7 linked regions of the Kluyveromyces lactis genome follow. The protein of the gene in region 6 interacts with the protein of the main gene of each other region in a pairwise test. Links are inferred from orthologs where the notes say so. Each region holds a gene or a part of one and is shown on either strand. Other genes may lie near its edges.

The links.
Region 1: the proteins of PAT1 (region 6) and LSM5 interact in binary tests that used the Saccharomyces cerevisiae proteins (3 or more experiments, as listed by UniProt). The link is inferred for Kluyveromyces lactis from reciprocal best matches to the Saccharomyces cerevisiae genes PAT1 and LSM5.
Region 2: the proteins of PAT1 (region 6) and LSM6 interact in binary tests that used the Saccharomyces cerevisiae proteins (3 or more experiments, as listed by UniProt). The link is inferred for Kluyveromyces lactis from reciprocal best matches to the Saccharomyces cerevisiae genes PAT1 and LSM6.
Region 3: the proteins of PAT1 (region 6) and NAM7 interact in a two-hybrid assay, tested with the Saccharomyces cerevisiae proteins (2 studies listed by BioGRID, with this or other methods). The link is inferred for Kluyveromyces lactis from reciprocal best matches to the Saccharomyces cerevisiae genes PAT1 and NAM7.
Region 4: the proteins of PAT1 (region 6) and LSM8 interact in a two-hybrid assay, tested with the Saccharomyces cerevisiae proteins (2 studies listed by BioGRID). The link is inferred for Kluyveromyces lactis from reciprocal best matches to the Saccharomyces cerevisiae genes PAT1 and LSM8.
Region 5: the proteins of PAT1 (region 6) and SCM3 interact in a two-hybrid assay, tested with the Saccharomyces cerevisiae proteins (2 studies listed by BioGRID). The link is inferred for Kluyveromyces lactis from reciprocal best matches to the Saccharomyces cerevisiae genes PAT1 and SCM3.
Region 7: the proteins of PAT1 (region 6) and LSM1 interact in binary tests that used the Saccharomyces cerevisiae proteins (3 or more experiments, as listed by UniProt). The link is inferred for Kluyveromyces lactis from reciprocal best matches to the Saccharomyces cerevisiae genes PAT1 and LSM1.

The regions. Positions count from the first base shown.
Region 1 is NC_006041.1:902,701-904,771, forward strand, and holds LSM5 (RNA-binding protein LSM5), read right to left. Parts: upstream 756-2,071; coding exon 501-755; downstream 1-500. Other genes in the region: IPT1 (inositolphosphotransferase), read left to right, coding at 1-257; PAA1 (polyamine acetyltransferase), read left to right, coding at 1,668-2,071. UniProt on the Saccharomyces cerevisiae protein: Component of LSm protein complexes, which are involved in RNA processing and may function in a chaperone-like manner. Component of the cytoplasmic LSM1-LSM7 complex which is involved in mRNA degradation by activating the decapping step.
Region 2 is NC_006041.1:232,660-234,660, forward strand, and holds LSM6 (U4/U6-U5 snRNP complex subunit LSM6), read right to left. Parts: upstream 744-2,001; coding exon 501-743; downstream 1-500. Other genes in the region: GTPase-activating protein RGA2, read left to right, coding at 1,858-2,001. UniProt on the Saccharomyces cerevisiae protein: Component of LSm protein complexes, which are involved in RNA processing and may function in a chaperone-like manner. Component of the cytoplasmic LSM1-LSM7 complex which is involved in mRNA degradation by activating the decapping step.
Region 3 is NC_006038.1:566,422-570,707, reverse strand, and holds the start of NAM7 (ATP-dependent RNA helicase NAM7), read right to left. Parts: upstream 2,801-4,286; coding exon 1-2,800. Other genes in the region: MBR1 (Mbr1p), read right to left, coding at 3,284-4,279. UniProt on the Saccharomyces cerevisiae protein: RNA-dependent helicase required for nonsense-mediated decay (NMD) of aberrant mRNAs containing premature stop codons and modulates the expression level of normal mRNAs. Also capable of unwinding double-stranded DNA and translocating on single-stranded DNA.
Region 4 is NC_006041.1:1,467,258-1,469,230, forward strand, and holds LSM8 (U4/U6-U5 snRNP complex subunit LSM8), read right to left. Parts: upstream 792-1,973; coding exon 501-791; downstream 1-500. Other genes in the region: methylthioribulose 1-phosphate dehydratase MDE1, read left to right, coding at 1-462; TDA10 (putative ATP-dependent kinase), read right to left, coding at 1,830-1,973. UniProt on the Saccharomyces cerevisiae protein: Component of the nuclear LSM2-LSM8 complex, which is involved in spliceosome assembly. The LSM2-LSM8 complex plays a role in the biogenesis of the spliceosomal U4/U6-U5 tri-snRNP complex by accelerating PRP24-mediated annealing of U4/U6 di-snRNA.
Region 5 is NC_006042.1:503,592-505,833, forward strand, and holds SCM3 (Scm3p), read right to left. Parts: upstream 1,104-2,242; coding exon 501-1,103; downstream 1-500. Other genes in the region: peptidylprolyl isomerase CPR6, read right to left, coding at 1-162; COA4 (Coa4p), read right to left, coding at 1,376-1,630. UniProt on the Saccharomyces cerevisiae protein: Centromeric protein that plays a central role in the incorporation and maintenance of histone H3-like variant CENPA at centromeres.
Region 6 is NC_006042.1:2,529,516-2,533,747, forward strand, and holds PAT1 (deadenylation-dependent mRNA-decapping factor PAT1), read left to right. Parts: upstream 1-1,432; coding exon 1,433-4,045; downstream 4,046-4,232. Other genes in the region: RQC2 (Rqc2p), read right to left, coding at 1-713. UniProt on the Saccharomyces cerevisiae protein: Activator of decapping that functions as a general and active mechanism of translational repression and required for P-body formation. First decay factor recruited to mRNA, at a time when the mRNA is still associated with translation factors.
Region 7 is NC_006041.1:1,347,993-1,350,396, reverse strand, and holds LSM1 (Lsm1p), read right to left. Parts: upstream 1,041-2,404; coding exon 501-1,040; downstream 1-500. Other genes in the region: KLLA0_E15181g (uncharacterized protein), read left to right, coding at 1-161; FMP46 (putative redox protein), read left to right, coding at 1,658-2,047; DUF5427 domain-containing protein MTC1, read right to left, coding at 2,116-2,404. UniProt on the Saccharomyces cerevisiae protein: Component of the cytoplasmic LSM1-LSM7 complex which is involved in mRNA degradation by activating the decapping step.

The sequences.
Region 1 (2,071 bases), on a different chromosome or scaffold from region 6:
CGATTTTCGTATGCTTACAATGGTGGTCAACCCAATATTTGGATCACCATTTCAGATACGATTTATTCGTCGGTGCCGTTTATGCTGTAATCTCATACATCTTGATCAACAAATACGTCTTGCAACCAAAAGTTATCAAGCCTTGGCTAATAACCAGGGCTGATCCTACCTTGGACAAAATGAAAGAGTCAAAAACTATGGGTATGAGAGTTTTTGAAAACACTAAGATCGAATGGTTTTTCGATCCCTTGGCATGATATAGTTGAACAACAAAAATCAACAAACCTTCGGATACGGTATATCAAACGTCTCGTACGTTTGCATTGATTCATTTTTTGTATAAGCTGCACTTCAATATGATAATTATTTTACATATAAAATATATAATATATACTTACAAAGGATGTTAGTCAATATATCAATACCAAACATCTGAGAGAGAAAAAAACAGCATGCATGTTACAGATTTCGTTTTGAACATCAATATGCAGTTCCATTGTTTAATTTGAAGCAGGTTTTCCACCAGGTATCAACATAGCAATGTTGTTACCAGTCAATAACATCTTTCCCTGGAATCTTTTAATCTCCTGGTCTTCCAAATACTCTACCGCATTTTCAATGACAACATTAACGTAATCATCGAACCCTACTAGCGTACCAAAGAATTCTCTGTAATCTTTAAGTAGAATGGTCACTTCCTGTCCTATTGTTTTGTCAATGACCTCTAGGGGCAAAATCTCTGAAACACTACTCATATCCCGTCGTTTTATAAATATGTGTTGATGCAGTAGTAGAGCAGGAGGTTTTAATAGTCTAATGATACTAATAGACAGTAGTTGTCGTCAGCTCACAGCTTTATCTCTTTGATCAAAGGTACTTATTTCTTGAAACTTTCAAAGCTCTCTCAATATGTGATTGTATGGTGAAAGTAAGCGTAGTTGGCCGAAAGAAGGCAATAAAGTAAAGAAATGAGCCCATAAAAAGCCTTAAAAGCTGCTACAAGGTAGGCCAAGAATGTTGTATCTATTGGCATCGACTTGATGGTGCTGTTGGCTACAAAGGCTTAAACAACATGCAATTTCGCTAGGAACGGACGGTACGGGTCACATGACATCTCACTAAACACGAACATCAGGTGTCCCTGAGACACTGTTCACCAGCTGTGATGATTGGCGTTCTGGTCCAAGATTAAGCCTCTGGTGACCATTCAACTTGCCAGTCCGGTATTTACAGGTTCTGTCAACTTTAGATTTGGTTATCACTCACAAATTCCTACCAAGTGGTGCGTAATTTCTATATTCTTGCCGCAACTGTTGTTTCTCCTTTGTACAATATCAAAATAACAATTCAATTGCAATATCAATCATATATACTAAGGTTTTACATATGATGATAAGGATAAGGATAACAAATACATATAGACACACATCTCACAAGACTATCACTTCCGTTATTGAGCAGTTCACAAAGACATCATATCTGTCTAACACTAGTTGATAAAATCAATTGGTCTAGGAGTTGAATACCATTGTTGATAATAAGGTTCGATTGATTTTAGAAGCAAACTAGAATAAGGAGCAAATAATTGTATTATTGTGGCTAGAATTGAAGAAACAACATTAGGAAATCATTATTAAGTATTATAAAATCAGAAAAGAATTTTCACTATGTCATCGTCATTGCCACTGCATGTTTATATTAGACCATTAACGATAGAAGATTGCCAAGCATCAGTAGAGCTAGAGGCACAAGGCTTCCCACCTGAAGAAAGGGCTGGAAAGGAGAAGATCGAATTCAGATTGAAGATGTGCCCCGAATTGAGCTCGGGTCTTTTCATTAGAGACGTTAAAGGCACTGAGATTTTGGGAGAAAAGTTGATTGGCCATATCTTTGGTACCAAGATCCCCATCCCAAAAAACGGTACCAAGGAATTAACTTTTATTACCAACGAAAGCATGAGTTTCACACAAGACGATTCTTCTCCTGTCATTGGAGTGCATTCTGTCGTCATTGCTCCACAACATCAGAAGAAGAACCTAGCTACTCTACTATTGACAGATTACATCCAAAA
Region 2 (2,001 bases), on a different chromosome or scaffold from region 6:
ATTCTCAAAAAAAAACTACAACATGATATGAGGTTCGCGGTTTGTTTGATCTGAAAGCTTTCTTTATCACAGAATAAATAAGAAACTACGAAAGGAACCTCTTTGATCTCCTTTTCTCTAACGATATGACAATAAATTTTCTCTTTTAAGAATCATGATATAAAAATTTGAAAAGAGTAATGTATAACTCACTGGTACAAGGTTAATATATATTATTATTGTATTAGATATCTACATATTCTTATTATTTTAAAATAAAATCAGAATTTAAATTTATGTATGCTTTGGTGCTTTATATATGTGCATCGTAGTATTTTTTAACACTTTCCGCTTTGATAACGTTCCATCTTTATAGTATACAATTATATACTTTTGTATATAAATTATTATTAGTATTATCATATTATTGTAGTTATTGAGCTTCTGAGCAAATAGGACACTTTATAATATCGACTTACAAAAGTCATTGGTCGAAGTCAATCTTATTGCCCAATCGAAGCCTATTTTTCGCTAATGTATAACACCTGCGATCCCCTTAGAAATACTTCAGAAGGATATTTATGCAAAGTTCCGTTCTCTTCTGCCTCATAATGTTCCGACACTTGTGACATTGTGACGTTCATAAACCCATCAATTGATTCTAGCTTACCTTGATACAATATTCCTGAGAATAGCTTGACGTATACTGGTTTTCCAATGATGTTCTCCAAAAAGGAGCCAGAAGCCGTTGCCTTAGATTCCATGATGTGTTAACAATCTATGCCTTTGAAATTTGGTAGCGTCGAAATAAAGATATGAAGAAGCCTGTAGTTCTTGCATCTGAACCTACTCTCATCATTCTCCATCAGTTCAACGTTATATTAACAAAGTTCACTTTTCATTGTTCACGTTGAAGTAAAAGGGAAAGAATGTTCTAGTCACGTGATCTGTGGTAAAGTGAATTAAGTGATATGCAGTAAGTAATAAATTAATTAATTAAATGAATGGAAGGGAACAGCGCAGATTATAGTAATATATTGCTCTAGCTTGGAAACAAATGTCAAAGGTTCTTCCTGGATACATTCCGACAACAACCAGCATTCTTTGACTCCAATTTTAGCCAAAATCTTCGAACTCTAAGACCTTGAAACAAAGAAACTGAACTCCAAATCACGCCTGCACACCACATAGTTCAAACATTCTCAAACCTGGTTCCTGATTTTGTTTCAATGCATATATACATTTCGAAACCGTTGAGAGACAGCACTAATTTACCTTAGTGGCTCTCTGCAGCTGATAGATATGCTATATCAATTCAGCTAGAATATAATTGACGTGGTGTGCTGTTTACGTTTCCCTATCTAATTGACTTCCATATTTAGCACTGGTTAGGACCGATTGTACATATATATAATCAAGATTGAGACACGATTTATTTATATCAACTCGCTTCAAACGTTTCGGATTTTAACAAGATAGGGCTGCATTCACTCTCGATCAAAACATTCCTTGAGTTAATTGAACCCTCGTATCTATATTTCGATCTCAACATTCATATTGAGGGAATTTACTCCGTCCACGAGGAACAGCTTGGAATTCTTTTCCCTTATATAGTACTCTCTAACGGTGCGTGGCAAGAAAATATCATAGTATAAAGCCGCTGCTAATACATCTCTCTATTAACTTTTTTTTTTTTTTGGTGTGTCGTGCTCTTTGTGCGTGTTCTGTTATTATTATACTTTCGATTCGAAGATTAATCTTAGATTTCTTTTCAGCTTTTGATCCATTAGATCAAAAAGTTATTGATCCAGGGACAAACGAACACACTACAAGACCATCACCTCCACAGCGTGCTACATCTGCAAAACTAATTACCGTATGTCTGCCTCTCCGAAGGGGGCTGCTGAGACGTCAGTATGTGTTCGTTGTACGAACCATATTACTATGGGTCATGCGTACGAATTAGGCGGAAATAGATGGCACACCCACTGTTTCTCCTGCTACAAATGTGATAAGCCTCTA
Region 3 (4,286 bases), on a different chromosome or scaffold from region 6:
CAAAATTGACCGCGTCTTTATCGTATTGGTTAACAGGATGCGTAGCACTTAAGCGCGATTGTGTATCAAAAGACTGTCCATTCCAATATTGTTGGTTCAATAACGAAGACAAGTCCGTGTTTGGAATAAAAGATTTTTCAACGACGTTTTGGCCACCGAATGAGACCAAACTTTGAGTGTCAAAGTCTCTCTGACCAGCATATTGTGTATAACTACTGTTGTTGGATGGGGCTTTCCTGGGTGCCCTAGAAGGTTTCGTCAATTGGACTGTGCAGAGTTGTAAATTATCCAAAAACCCTTCAACAAGACAACCCTTTTCTCTGAAATGAAGTAGTAGATGACTCCATAAGCTATTGCGAGATAGTGCCCTTGGGTTACCCAATATTATTAGACCGTATTTAGCACGAGTCAACGCAACATTTAGACGACGTGGGTCACTCAAGAAACCAATGGTGTTTCTCTCATTGGCACGGACACAAGACAAAATAATATAGTCTTTTTCTCTACCTTGGAAAGCATCTACTGATGCCACTTCAACGCCCATGTACAATGATTTTTCCATCGAACCATTCATTTGCATATATTGTACAACATATGCTCTCTGCCCCTCATAAGGAGTTATAACACCAATCTGTTCTGGTTTGACACCATCTTTGAATAGTCTTGTAATGATCTTTTCACAGTTCATGGCTTCAATTCTGTTCAAGTAGGAAGTACCATTGCCTGAGATCTCTTCACGACCATAGTTAGCCCAAAACATCATAGGGATAGTATGAATTGGCCATGGAAAGGTAGATCTTGCAATAGTACGTTGCTCGATGGTGACACCATTCTGTAAACTACCTTCGTAGAACATGTTGCTTGGGAATTCGCTTAATTGTGGATTCATTCTATATTGGACTTCCAATCTAATAGGAATGTGACCCAAGGAAATTAATCTTTCAAACAAAGATTGTTTCAAACCAGCGTCACCAGCTTTTCTATCTAAAATGACAGGACCAAGTTGCTGATGATCACCAACTAGAACAACTTGTTTGGCTCCCTTGACGATAGGGATCAAACATTCAGGTTCTGACGCTTGAGTACTTTCATCGATCAATACTGTGCGGAACTTATAGTCCAATCTTTTATCACCAGCGCCGACGCAAGTACAGCAAATAACATCAGCTTTTTGAATGATGGTAGCTTCTGATTTTCTCACTAACTTCACAAATTTCGTGGTATCCGATGAGGAAAGTTCCCCTGTTTTTTCCTTAAGATTGAGAAGTTTTTTGAGTTTACCTTCTGCAGACCTGCTGACCAAGTTATGCAATGCTAACTCGGACACTGAGCTCTCCACATCTTCTCTACTTTTAGCAGTTAATCGTACTACCTTTAAACCCATACTGTGCAACTTGGCAGCAAGATGATCCACTGCAACGTTAGATGGTGCACAAACTAAAACACGCTGTTTGTGGATTTTAGACAAATGATAAACAATGGTAGCTGAAGTGACGGTTTTACCGGTACCAGGAGGTCCCTGGATCAATGATAAAGGTCTTTGTAAAACATGCTTCACAGCATTACTTTGAGATTGGTTTAACTCGGTGAAGTGAGGCACAAAAATGCTTTTGGGTAATTCTACATCAAATTCCACATCTGGAACCTCTTGGCCCAATATCTTATAATACAAGAACCCTGATAATGATTTTTTGGTGACAGCAAATTTTCTTAACGCTTCTTGCATTCTAATATAAGAAGTTCCCCTCCATACAAAAACTGCTGTAAATCCTGTAGTACAATTAGTTGGTGGAGTTTTTTGACTTGGTTTCAATTCAAGAGTAAATTCATCTTTGAAACTGTTTGGTAGCTGGATGATGAAACCTTTTCCTGTCCAATCTGCATGTTGTGGACCACTATACTTTAAAATCATCTCATCACCAACGGCAACTTTTAATTCGTTAGATTCGAATGTGGATAATGCAAAAGTAGCTAGATGTCTGTTGTTCAATGCTAAATCCCATGTGACAGAGATGTGTTCTAAGGCCTGTGATTCCTTTAATTGCTTATCATAATCTGCTTCTAACTGAATCAAAGGACCAAATGATCTTTGGTACTGATAAGCATCAGTGTATCTCATCAAAGTCGGAGGAATATCTTCATCTTGTTCGACCATATCAATATCCATAATTGTAGCGTTTTTGTTTGATTTCCATCTTGCTTCCAATTTCGTAATTTGAGATGGAGTAATCATCCTGGCCTTCAACTGATCTTCTTCACTTGGTTCTTCTGCCACCCAAGATAGCATCTTCCTTTCTTCAATAAGTGGTTGCCAGTTATCTGTATCCCAATTAACATTCTTCATTTTAGCACAAGGCAATCTGCACAACAAGACCACAACAGCCTCACTCTTAGCCGGAACAAAACCAAGAACAAACACATTAGTACGTCCACAATTGTAGCATTCCAAAGTAGTATCTCCTAGCTCTGAGTCTGGATGTAATGAAACTGAAGAATGATGGGATAAAACTAAATGGTTCACAATATGGGAACTATTAGTACCATTTTTCGAATTACAAAACCATTTGCTGCAAATGTTACACTTGACAACACATGAAGTATTATCAATACCACAATATGCACAAGCATGTTCCGCAATAGGATCTGTATTAGCAGCAGTGCCGTGGAACTCAGAGTATTCCTCGTCCAGCATCTCATCAGTATCGTAGAAAAAGTTTTTGTCGTCATCGTCTCTCAAAGAAACAGATTCGTTTGAGTCCGAATCTGAATCAAACGGTTCATTTGGCAAACGCATCGTCATAAGGAAACTTGATTCTAATTGTACTGAGATAATAAAGGCACCAGTCGTGTACAATCTACTTCAAAGAATAGCTTTGAACAGAATAGATCGAACTAACCAAAAAAAAAAGTTCGCAAGAAATGAGTCAGAGTCACAAATCAAAATATGTTACTCAGCACATTGATAGATGCTCAATTTACAGAACTTCTTGAAAATACAGATAAAGTGATATAGGAAATAATAACTGTTGAAGCATATTATGATTAAATACTTTTATGTATGGAAGTTGATGCATTTTCTGATGAGATGTGAGATGAGATGTGAAGTACACAAACTGAAAAAAAAAAAAAAGAATCAGCAAATGCATGCAAAAGTCGGGTAATTAAATAGTGATTAGGTGACAGTCTATGTCCTATTACGTTTATATATTTGATGCATGAGGGTATACTGATGATTATGATTGGGGTAACTGAGGGTGGTTGAAGACTGGGGTTGTGAATTTTATTATGAGAAACTCTCTGATAAAGCCTGTTCAATGAAAGACTTTCTTCTTTTTCTTGCGTCCAAAAATGGTGGTGGATGTGAAGATGAATATTGGTTAATTGATTGAGTTCCTGACGGTATTTCTGGTATGGTTCTATTAGTGTAGGTGTTTGGATTGGCAATTGTGCTATTTGAACTTTGAGGTGAAGTTCGTAATGACATTTTTGCCAACGATGAAGAGACGGTGTCTTCTGTTCCATGAGTTGAAGCTTCGTCTGACAATTGTTTTGACTTATCAAAGAAGGATTCCGTCGCTGAATCCAATTCAGAACTTACGTATCTCTCCAAGCTGTATAAGTGTGTTGGAATGGCATTTGTAGATAAGCTAATGGACGATCTTGATCCATTGGAAGATTTAGGATCTATTGCGCCCTCGTCAGTGATATTAGTTGGGGATCCAAAAGAGAGACTGTTATTATTTATGGTATTGTTTGTATCTAGACATCCAACAGAAGAAGCAATGCTCTGTCTTGTGGGTTGTTTAGACAATGGAATGACTATACTGTTTGTCCTTGAGACTGGGTTTGAATCTAGCGAGAAACTGTATCCATTGTAAGAAGCGGACGATTTCGATCTAGGTTTCCTTAGCCCGTGGCAGTTCGAACATACCACACAACCACACTTTGATGGTGATCCAATTTTCCCCTTCAAAGAAGTATCTCCACGCATCATATTCGAACGGAATGGGTTCCCTCCAAGCTCTACCTCCTGAAACTCTTCTTCATTATCACTGGGAATCTTATAGTACAGCGTTTCCTCCTGCAATGGATTCAATTCATACAGTGAATCTTCTGCACGACTGTGTATCTCGAGTGGTTCTTGATCATCATTGTAAAAAGTAGAGCAAAAGGGGTCCTGCACTGATCTCTCAAATATGGAGCCTCTTTCATTGGGACAACCACAATGGCACACTAAAGGCTTTACTCCTTCATCTGATTCCAGACGTTCATCCAACATGGAAAAA
Region 4 (1,973 bases), on a different chromosome or scaffold from region 6:
ATTGTTAAATACAATATACAGGACGATACTTATCAATGTGGTGCGCCTGGATTGAAACCCTCTGCGTGCACACCGTTATTCCTGGAGCTATTCAAGACGCTGGGTGCCTCGTGCGTCATACACACGCACTCTATCAATGCGGTGCTTTGTTCAATGATATATGAGAAGGAGTTTACCATCAAGGACATTGAACAAATCAAGGCGATACCCAAAGGTGACGGTACCAATTTGAGGAACGTTGATACCCTACGTATTCCAATCATCGATAACGCTCCAGAAGAACAGGATCTCATGCCAGCGTTGAAGCAAATGATTAAGGATTATCCAAATGCATGTGCGGTACTGGTGAAAAGACATGGACTCTTCGTTTGGGGCCCCACGCCAAAGAAAGCCAAGATATACATCGAGTCCATCGATTACCTCTTTGAAGTAGCTCTCAAAATGAAAGAACTCGGTCAATGAAAGGGAGACCAGCAGCTGTGTATAACATTATTTATATTTCATCTGTTAGCCCATCGCTCACTCCAAATGTCTATTTCTTCTTTAAACGGTAACTTATTCTTACACGCTGGGAACTTCTGAAGTTTTGCCAGTTCTTTTTCTTCTGGTATATCATCTATCAGCCCACATAATACCACTTCACTACTCCGTATAATGCATATCTTGCTGTCCTTTAAAAGAATCATGTTTCCCGCATGATCAAACCCTTTCATTTCACCATAGTATGTGTCTCCATCGACATTGACCAACATCACCTTCTTGTCCAAATAATCTTTCAATAGAGCACTCATTGTCCATTCACTGTTCTAGCAAACAAGGGGGCAGTTATGTGGATATCTTCGCTCCGATGGATCGTTATCTTTTCTTCGTTACTATTATAATTTGAAAGTAATGTTTTCTATTTGAAGATTCTCTATTATCAATAACAACAACATCTTCAACAAAGAAGAATCACACATCATAACAGAAGTATACAGGCTTCTACAGCAGTTATCTAGAGTTGTGTTGTGGCTAATATTGTTAGAAGCTCCGAATCACGGTTGAAATGGCGGAAGAGAATGAAAGTGAGACCGATTACGGGTCTTCTCCCTTTAAAAAGATTCCAGACGCCGACAAACAGATCTTAGAATGGACTAGTCGTCTAGAGTTGGAGACTGTGCAGTTGCGGGACACGTCTGAGAGTCTATTCAAGATTATCAAGGAGAACGTGGATGAATTGAGCCATTCGCGAAAGTTATTCCAAGCAGAACTTGACAGTAGAAAAGGTATGGTTTCTATGCACAATGAAAGGAATATCTACTTAGTATAAGGGCATTTACTTAGTTCTATCTACGTGGATTGGTCGTTGATTGATACCCTTTAGGAATGATTCTTTGTAAGAGTCACTACGGTCAGTTTTTACTAACTAGGAAAATAACGGATGAGACTCCGAGAAGTCGCCGTTATTTCTGTGTGTATTTAGATGGTAATCAAGAAACGGGAACGGAGATTGTCTCTGAAGTAAAGTCTCGTTTGGATCAATTAAAGGCATCAAGCGGTGAAAGTTTGCAACTTTTAGCGGATAATATTACGAAGCAGATGGATAAACGACATCGAGAATGGATGGACAGATTTACCATGAATGAAAATGTCATGTTCAATGTCGTGCAACAAATGCAAGACCTCACGGATGCCATCCAGACGTTGCATGAAGATATGAGGTTAGCTAGCAAGAGGCAGGCGTTGCTTGAGAAAAGATTGAGACATGAATCTATCGCTACGCCTGAATCTCAACACCTAAATCAAAACCAGACACAACGACTCAGGGTATTAATCCCCTGGGAAGAAGTTCAAGAGTGCGAAATGAAATGATTGACCACATTTCTGTCGGCATCGATGGCAATGGTAAGATTTGTTTTGCCGAACGCGGTGTTCGGGTCAATGAAGTTTTTATAATATAGTTCATAACAAGGCATATATCTATCAACAAACGC
Region 5 (2,242 bases), about 2.0 Mb from region 6:
ATCCGGTTTGGATTTGGCAAATCCCGAGTTACCTTCACAGAGTTTTAAGAAATTCTCCGCCGTCTTTGGAACAACATCAGAATACAACTCGAAAACAATCCGACCAGCAGGTTTGCCCCCAATCGAAATATCGAAAAATGTCTTAGGTCTTGTTTCACTCATATTCAAATTCAATGAGCTAACTCGTATGTGTACTTTTTTCTCCACGTAGGTAGAAATAATGCAGGGTTAGTTTGCTTCTTCAAAATAACAACCGCTTTGCCGTAACCTACCTTTAAGATCAATGATACAAGCTGGGTTTGTCAAGAGAGGTTACTAATGGACTTTACTCAATTTATACTTCTTTTTCAGCCGTTCTCATTGTACTTTTGTTGTGGTTTTTTCAAGGCTAGATCGATAAAAGATGGAAAGCTTCGAATTTGCTAGAAAACCTTTAAAAATATATCAATACATGAACGAACCGTAAACACAGTGATAAATGAATATCTGAAGCGCCTGAACTAATTACTTTCAGGATTAGGTCTTAACTTCTTCATATAAACTTCATTACTGTTATCTGCTTCAGAGCCAGATCCCTCATCTAAACCATCGGCTTCGAGACCAGATTCAGACTCGGACCCTGTTTCTGAATCGTTAGTTTCGTGATCTTGCCAAACCGATGAATTATATGATGAGTCTTTAATATCCATAATGTCATTCAGAACACTTTTATAAGACACTGAACCACCATCTGGTAGCGAACTATGTAGAACTGATTTTTCGTTGCTCAAGTTTCGTAAATGGCCATTATCTTCTATGACTTCTCCAGTTTGTAAATCTATTACATCACCTTGATTATCTATACTTTCATATTTTTGTATGATCTGGGACCATACGCGTTTCATATTCTCGTCTGCTTTCTTATGACGCTCCATAACCTCTTCGTCTGACAATTTAGGAATTAATCGATTCTCTTTAGACATGATGTAAACCACACCATCTCGAGTAATTTGTTTTAGATTCTCTTCTTTCTTTGGCTCCTCTTCGCCTAGCAAATCCCTTAATGCACCTGTCAATCTTCGAAGATTAGCCTTCTTCTTACTATTTGATGGTCTTTTAATCATCAATAAAGCACTATTGCTGTAATTCTACTTGGAAACTTCACCTATGGTCCGGGAACTGGTTAAATTTCGTTATGTTCTGGTGTAAATGTTGTATTGAAACGATTATTCATTATCCTTAACTAAAATATGTCAATTTAAATGTTGCGCTGCGTAGACTAAAAATATTCAGATGGGTATTCGCATATACAATTAAATGGGTCTATATACAATATGTGGAGTATTTCGACAAAGCTTCACAGTGAAGGATCTTTTTACACCTGTAAATGCAAATCTCAATGTTCTTTTGCATCGACTGTCCCCACTCTCTGGTCATTACCCTTGGATTGCCAACAATCTTTGAACAGTTTCATTTCACCAAGACACTGTCTCCAATCATTAGTCTCTGCATGGCAAAGTTGTAAAGCTAGATTCTCTACGTAACAGCCTGTGTTCGATATTCTCTTGTCCCAGGCATCAGGATCTTCTTTATCCATATCCTGATACTCCGCTAATGCTTCCTTGTAGTATTTTGATTCTCCTGCAGACATAATTGAAAGTATGAAGCTACGACAGAATAATTGCTATTGACTCGGTCAACGTATCACTGTAGACTGTGATAGTCGTTTCAAGATTAACTGTTGCATGTACTATTGCACTTATTGTATTGTATTCTACTAAATTAACCATTTATACTTCAGTGTTTTTACTTTTCCAATTAAACCTTGCTCTCGATTGTTCTTTATGGCCACTGAACTAATTTTCCGTTCCAAAAGCTTGATTGAGCTACAAAAGGTTTAATGACTATTAATATAAGAAAAGAAAGCTGTGTTAAAAAACGTCAGAGATCCCCAAACTGCAATACAACACTATTGATCTATGTAATAAACGACCAGGCTGCGGTTTGCGTTGGCGTAATTGCACCGGGAGATCACGTGATATAAATGCTTTCAAGATTATGCAATCTCCAGGCACACAACATATTCAGTACTTAGTGCGGGATACCTACTATAAACTCAATAATTGTACAGTAACATAGGTAGTAAGATCCCTTTTCGAGTATACATTGTCCATGTTGTTGTCCCTTTGGATGGTGTCTCGCCTAATTTTGGGCCAGATCTCGACTGCAAAAAAATAATTTGCTGAAGTTTTTATAAATGATG
Region 6 (4,232 bases):
GAAGATGGATCAATACCAATAGCTTTCAACGAGTTTTGAATCAAATCACTTGATAAATGTGGAGCATGAACAAATAAAAGTTTTTGAATAGACGGAACAGATGCTTTTCCCTTGAGTTTACCTTTTTTAGCCTCTCCGGGCACAATTGTGCTTTTGGCTTTAACGTCGGCTTCTTTCAACCAATCTGCTATTTCATTTTCGAAATATTCCTTAGGATCAGGAACCGTAGTTGAAGTTTGGTTAATTTCTGCAAAGTTGGCCATGTCATAAAATTCACCAACTTTCATCGAATAATCATCGACAACTCTCTGTAGTAAAAGAATTTTTTGGTCAGCATCCAATAAAAGCACATTTCCGGCACTGAAAAATTCTAAAACAAGGTAGTACTTACCATCAGCAAAAGTAAACACAATTATTCTGTCATTTGGGATCTGCTTAACTGCCGTCAATCGTTTTTCTTTCAAATACGATCTCAATTTGGAAACAAACCACGAAGGAGTCGGGGGAATCGGCCTGGTAAAGTCAGTAGTATGAACTCGCAATCCGCAATCAATGACAACGTTTAACTTGGAATCGGGTTTTCCAAACTTTAATAAGAATTGCCTGTTTGAGTCAGCAATGTTATAGATATTTCTTAAGCGAAATCCTACAATTTGATTCTCCAACTCTTTGGATATCAGTTGCAAATCTAACGAACTCAATCTCTGTTTCATTTTCTAGTATCAAATCCAAGATTATAGTTTAGATATTTCGTACTCTCCAAGTTGCAGTTAAGTCCACTTTACCAGTCTGAGTTGATTCTTTTCGAGCACTATACTTGATTCAGATCTTCATACAAATCAGTATTTTCACTGCTAATCAGATTAAAATTATTAGAACTTGGTCACTGCTATTAGATCAGATATCTTTTATTACTTAGGTTTAAGACTAAACTGCTAAGCTGATATATTTTCCAGATAGCTGTACCTAGGATGTTAGTAGTATATGTCATCTTTGTCTATTCGCAATCACTTTATATATGCTGCTAATGAAGGAAAGAAAGACTACGTACGAGTTTGTATTGGAACTTTCTAAACTACCATGTTGAAAAATGTCAAATATTTGAAATCACATGACCTGAATTTCAAATTTTGAACTAGAAATCCTTAATATGTATATCATCTTGCACGGTGAAATTTTTCATCAAACAACAACCCAAAAATGTAATTCACTTAACAAGCAAAGTAGTTTCTATGCTCAAAAATAAGTGATCAGAGATATTCAGAGACCGTTTGTTGGAAGATTGCTTGAACGAAACGCAGGCAGGTAGCGACTTAAATCACATTACTTGTGTTTTTAAGAGAATATAATAGGATTTGTCGACAATTCTGATCTAGAAATCGATTTTTGCCCAATTAGTATAGGAGTCCTTATATTCCTGAATCACTGAACGATGTCATTCTTCGGTTTTGACGCCACGGGCCGAAAACCTCGTGAGAGGAAACAGCAAGGCGAGGAGGATTCTTTAGATTTCGAAGAAACGTATCAAGGCTTGGGTGATTATGAGCCAGAGGAAGATGATTTGCTCAATGATGAAACTTTTGGTACTGGAGCGGATCTGGGTACAGATTTTGATTTTGGTTACGGTAAAGGGGAGCTTGGCGCTGGTTCAGGTTCTGGTAGGGCACCAGCACCAGCTCCTGTTTCTTATGCATCTATTGCAAATGCCAAAATGAACAGACAAGCAGACTGTAAACCTGGTTTCGAACAATCGCTGGACATGCAACCTATGGAATCTTTATGGGGTAACAGCTCCGGTAATCAGCAACAACAGGTGCAACCTCAAGCCCCTACACAATTCCAAGCCCCACCACAGGTTCAACAGCAAGGTGCACCTAATGTGGAAGGATTGGCCATTCAATCTTTAGACAGACAACAACAGATGGCTATGCCGCCTCAACCTGGATTCTATGGTATGCAACCTCCGCAGAACCCTGGCTACGGCTTTATTCCACAAGGGTTCCCTCAAGGTCAATACCAGCAATTCCCTGGGCAAAATATTCCCCCTGTTATCCCTAATCAATTCGGTAATGCCGGATTTCCTAATCAACCTGTTAACCCTCAGGAACAATTCCAACAAGTACCACCGATAATGTACAATCAAACACAAGGAAACATTGCACATCATATGCAACATCCGCAGATGGCTATGCCACCAATGCAAAATCAACCTCCTGTTCAGCCCCAGCAGCCCCACCAACAGCAGTTACCTCCCCAATACTTGCCTCAACAACACCAACAAGATCAGCAGCACCAACAACAACACCAACAGCAACAAGTGTTCCAACAGCCTCACTCCGTTGACACTGCTGCTAGAACCCAAGCTGTCCGTTCTACTCAAGATTATGAGCATTCTAACTCTCCAACACCTGTGCCAACAGAATCAGAGCAGGTGCCAACTCCACCTCATACACCTAGAGAGTATCGCCGTGGTCCAAGGAGGTTTGGCACCCAAGATCCTTTGACTGATGAAGAATTGAGACGTCTTCAAATCAGACAATCGAAGGTTGACAAAATTCTCAGACACTCTGGTGTAATGACTCCAAGAGACAAGGATTTTATCACCAGGTATCAGTTATCTCAAATTGTCACTGATGATCCCTACAATGAGGATTTCTACTTCCAAGTTTATAAAATCATTCAAAGGGGTGTCACTCCATCTGAATCTAATAAGGATTCTATTGCTAAAGCATATTTAGAGCACTCGGGTCACAGATTAGGAGGTCGTTACAAGAGAACTGACGTCGCGTTACAGAGAATGCAATCTCAGGTCGAGAAGGCTGTTACCGTTGCGAAAGAAAGACCACAGAAAAGTAAGGGTGGGTTGGATAATGCCAAAGAGGGTGTCTTGGGTAAAATCTCAGCTACTAGGAACTCAAAAGCTCCAAGAAAGCAATTACAAATCCCAACTCACAAAGAGGATTCTCCAGCGTTGTCTTCTCAATCAAGCTCAGCCCTAGATGAGGTGTCTGAATCTTTGCAAGGCGTGGATATCAATGCCAAAAGAAGAAGATCATCTTATGCTTTGAGTTCTTCAGTGGACCATCGTACAGTTTTATCCCGTTCTGGTGGCCGTAAGTTCATTTTATCATTGATTGAAACTGTTTACGAAGAAGTGCTTGAACTAGAAGCTCAATTGAGATCCGGTCAACAGCCGGACAGTTCAAAATTATGGGAGGCGCTACACGTTGAGGACCACGGTTTTGACGTTTCTCCCTTCATTTCCATCTTATCTTTCGACAAAGGTATCAAGATTATGCCACGTATTATGAATTTCTTGTCAAGAGAAGAGAAGATTAAGCTTTTCAACTGCTTCTTCAAGGAACTTTCTCATTTGAATGTCATTGTCATATCATCGTACAAGACTACTCCACTTCCTACTAAAGATCAACTGAAGAAGATGGAATTGTTCCAATCTGTGTTTTTGAAGATCATTGTTTCGTTCTTATCCAGTTCAGCAGAGTTTTTGGAGGTAATGAGTCTACTAATAAATGTCATTCAGAATAATAACGTTTCTTTCATCACCACATCGCGTATCGGTTTGAATTTGATTACCGTGCTCATTTCACGTGCTGCTTTGATGAAACAAGATGTTAGCAGGGGCAAACTGTTGTCTTCTGTGGAAGTATCCACTTGGAGTGAAGTCTATGATAGGCTATTTACTTCTTTAGAAACAAAATTGACTGCAATTTTCCCAACACCTGAATATATGCAACACGCCATTTCAGTTTATGAACAGGATTCTACTCAGTATGATCAATCTTACATCTGGCAGTTCCTTGCATCGCTTGCTTTGAGCGGAAAATTGAACCATCAACGTATATTGATTGATGAAGTGAGAGACGAAATTTTCGAAGTCATTTCAAAGGCTGAAGAACTAAATGCCCCTTCTCAACAAGACCCTAAACTGGCTTATCAAAGAAACAAGTTCTATCAGGATTTGAACTTGTTCTTGAATGTCATGGGTCTTGTTGCTCGTGATGGTGAAATCACTGAACTGAAGTGATCGATATCGTGCGCCTCCTCTGATCAGCCCCTATCTCGATTGCCACTGTTAACTGTGTGCTACAAATTCGAAATCAAATCTCAAGGAAAAAAATTGCAAAAAAAAGTCAGCTTTATAGTATCTAAGTAATTCTTCTATTTACTATTACAAATGTATCATATTTCCATCTACTAGAACACTTCAATCC
Region 7 (2,404 bases), on a different chromosome or scaffold from region 6:
AAACACCCTTGTCACATATGTGGCAAGTGAGTCGATCGCTAAGAATTAATGATACGCCGGACGAATCATTAATATCACAACTGGGGAGGTTGGAAATCAGTAATTATAACAAATTTCAAAAGACATACGATCAAGAATTAACGACGCTCGCTGGCAAATGAGTTGATCCGTTAGTTAAGAATTAATTTTGACCGTTATAATGGTTCTATTTTATGTCAAATGGGGATTATTGTCCCATTAATTTTTTTTTTTTTTTTTTTGGAATGCCATGCCGCGCTATCTATGCATTTTACTTATTATGAATAGTACAGTACCGAACCATATATAAGTGAATATATATATCTCTATGTGATATATAATTGAGTATCAAAAGATAAATACCCTTCAAAACCACACGATCTCCAGTTTGTGTAATGATTTAGTTTAGTTTAGTTTAGTTTCGAATTGTATGTTTTACGATTTTTTTTTGCTTGTCTTTTAAACTAATTATAATCTTATACTTAATACAAATCACCTTTATTGAAATCGGTAGTTAAACCAAGCTGCGCTAGTCTCTTACCCTTAGCAGTGTTCTCCTTGTATTTCACCTCGTCCATTTTCTCCTTATAGCTTTCAGCTTCCTCAAATGGAACACGTTCCATCGATTCCAATGGTGCATCCTCCTTATCGATGTCTACTTCGCCCAACATAACAACGTTTTCACCTCTTATCATGAAAACTCCTCTGTCACATTCACCATATTTATTCTCACCCTCGATATATATTCTTTCCACCGTATGCTGTAGTATTAAGTTGGCATATTGATCAAACGTCCTTAGTACACCGAAGAACATACGGCCATCGCGCAATAGTACGAATATCTTGCGGTCTACTGAGCCAACAATGGCAGCTGTAGTTGTGAAATTGTATTGGTCCAAATATAAATCTGCTTCACCTTCTGATAGCTTGGACTTAGGACGATTTTCTTCCACATCGGAAGCCACTGGTTCAGTAACTCCTACTGAACTTGCTCTGTCGCTATTCGGAGACGAAGAGGACATTTGTAATTTGAGACTCTGATTCTTTCAATGAGCAAGTGAAAAAAAAAAAAAAGATTATAATGAATTGTAAAATTCAACACTGATTGTGATAGTTCTGGGTATCACTTGAAGGATAAATAGGCCGTTAAAGCGTCCAACGATTCATCTTTTTGGCAGTTCATTGCAATTCCATTTGATGTTGAGCTAGCTGAAACGAATTGAAGAAAAAAAATGTATGGTAACGTTGAGGCAGGGTAACTATAGGATGACTACCTTTGCTACAGGACCGCATAGTCATTGCACAGACAAGGCACAAATGGTTAGCTTGATGATTCTGTTTCCAAGTAGGTGAAAGGTGCTGCCAATCCGGATACTAAGTAGGGACGTCATGACTCCGTATCATAGTATTGATTGCTGGATTTTCCGGGATTTTGTTTCCCTGCCATGCGTATTTGAGGGATAATAGTATGATTTCCAAAATGTACATATTTCAAAGATGTCTTAATTTAGTATTGCGTATATAAAGGCAGCAACAATTACTGGGGTGACCTGACTTAATTAGACTGAAGTATTTAACTGAGTAAAAGTTCGAATTTTTTATAGAGGGGGACATTGACAATCAGTATCTTCAATTCATCATGTCTATGTTTAAAACCATCCAATTTCAACCTCGCGTAGTGACATTATTCACACACAAATTAGAATCATCTCATGCTCAAAATCTTCTAACGGCATTAAAATCGAACCACAAGAACAAAATCAACATTGAAATATGCCAGAAATTCCCTACTAGAGATCAATTGGAATATTTGGCAAAAATTGATAAGCCCGACTTAATGGAACAGATTCCTAAGACGGAATCTCTTTTGAAAAAAGCTGCTGAGGATCCACTATTTGGGTCACCATTGCAGAAATGTGTCGAGAATGGGTCTTGGAATAAACAGACGAGCTTATGGGTTGACTGGGAAAAAGCTGTATTAGGCACGACGGTTCAATCGTTGAAAGAGAAATGGTTACCAAAAAACTGATATGGGAGTATAATAATGATGATTAATAACAGTAATTAGGGTTTTAAAATATGTATGTAAAAGACACTTCACAAATTCATTCTGCTTATGACGTATTGTTGGGCAAGAATACCGAAAGTTAGATCAAGACCTTCGGATATCCATGGTTTCACCCAATCACTTGGGTCGATTTTTTCTGTGGATTCCTCATCGCTTAGTGCATCGGATTGTAACCATTTGGCCCATTTGGAGGGGTAACCTTGGGATCTCACTATTAGCAAGATATCATTACTTATGTCTTTCAAGATGACAATGAAATGGAAGTTGTTTTGTCTCGATGCGTCGATCAAAACAGTGTTAGAATCGGCTTCGGATGAT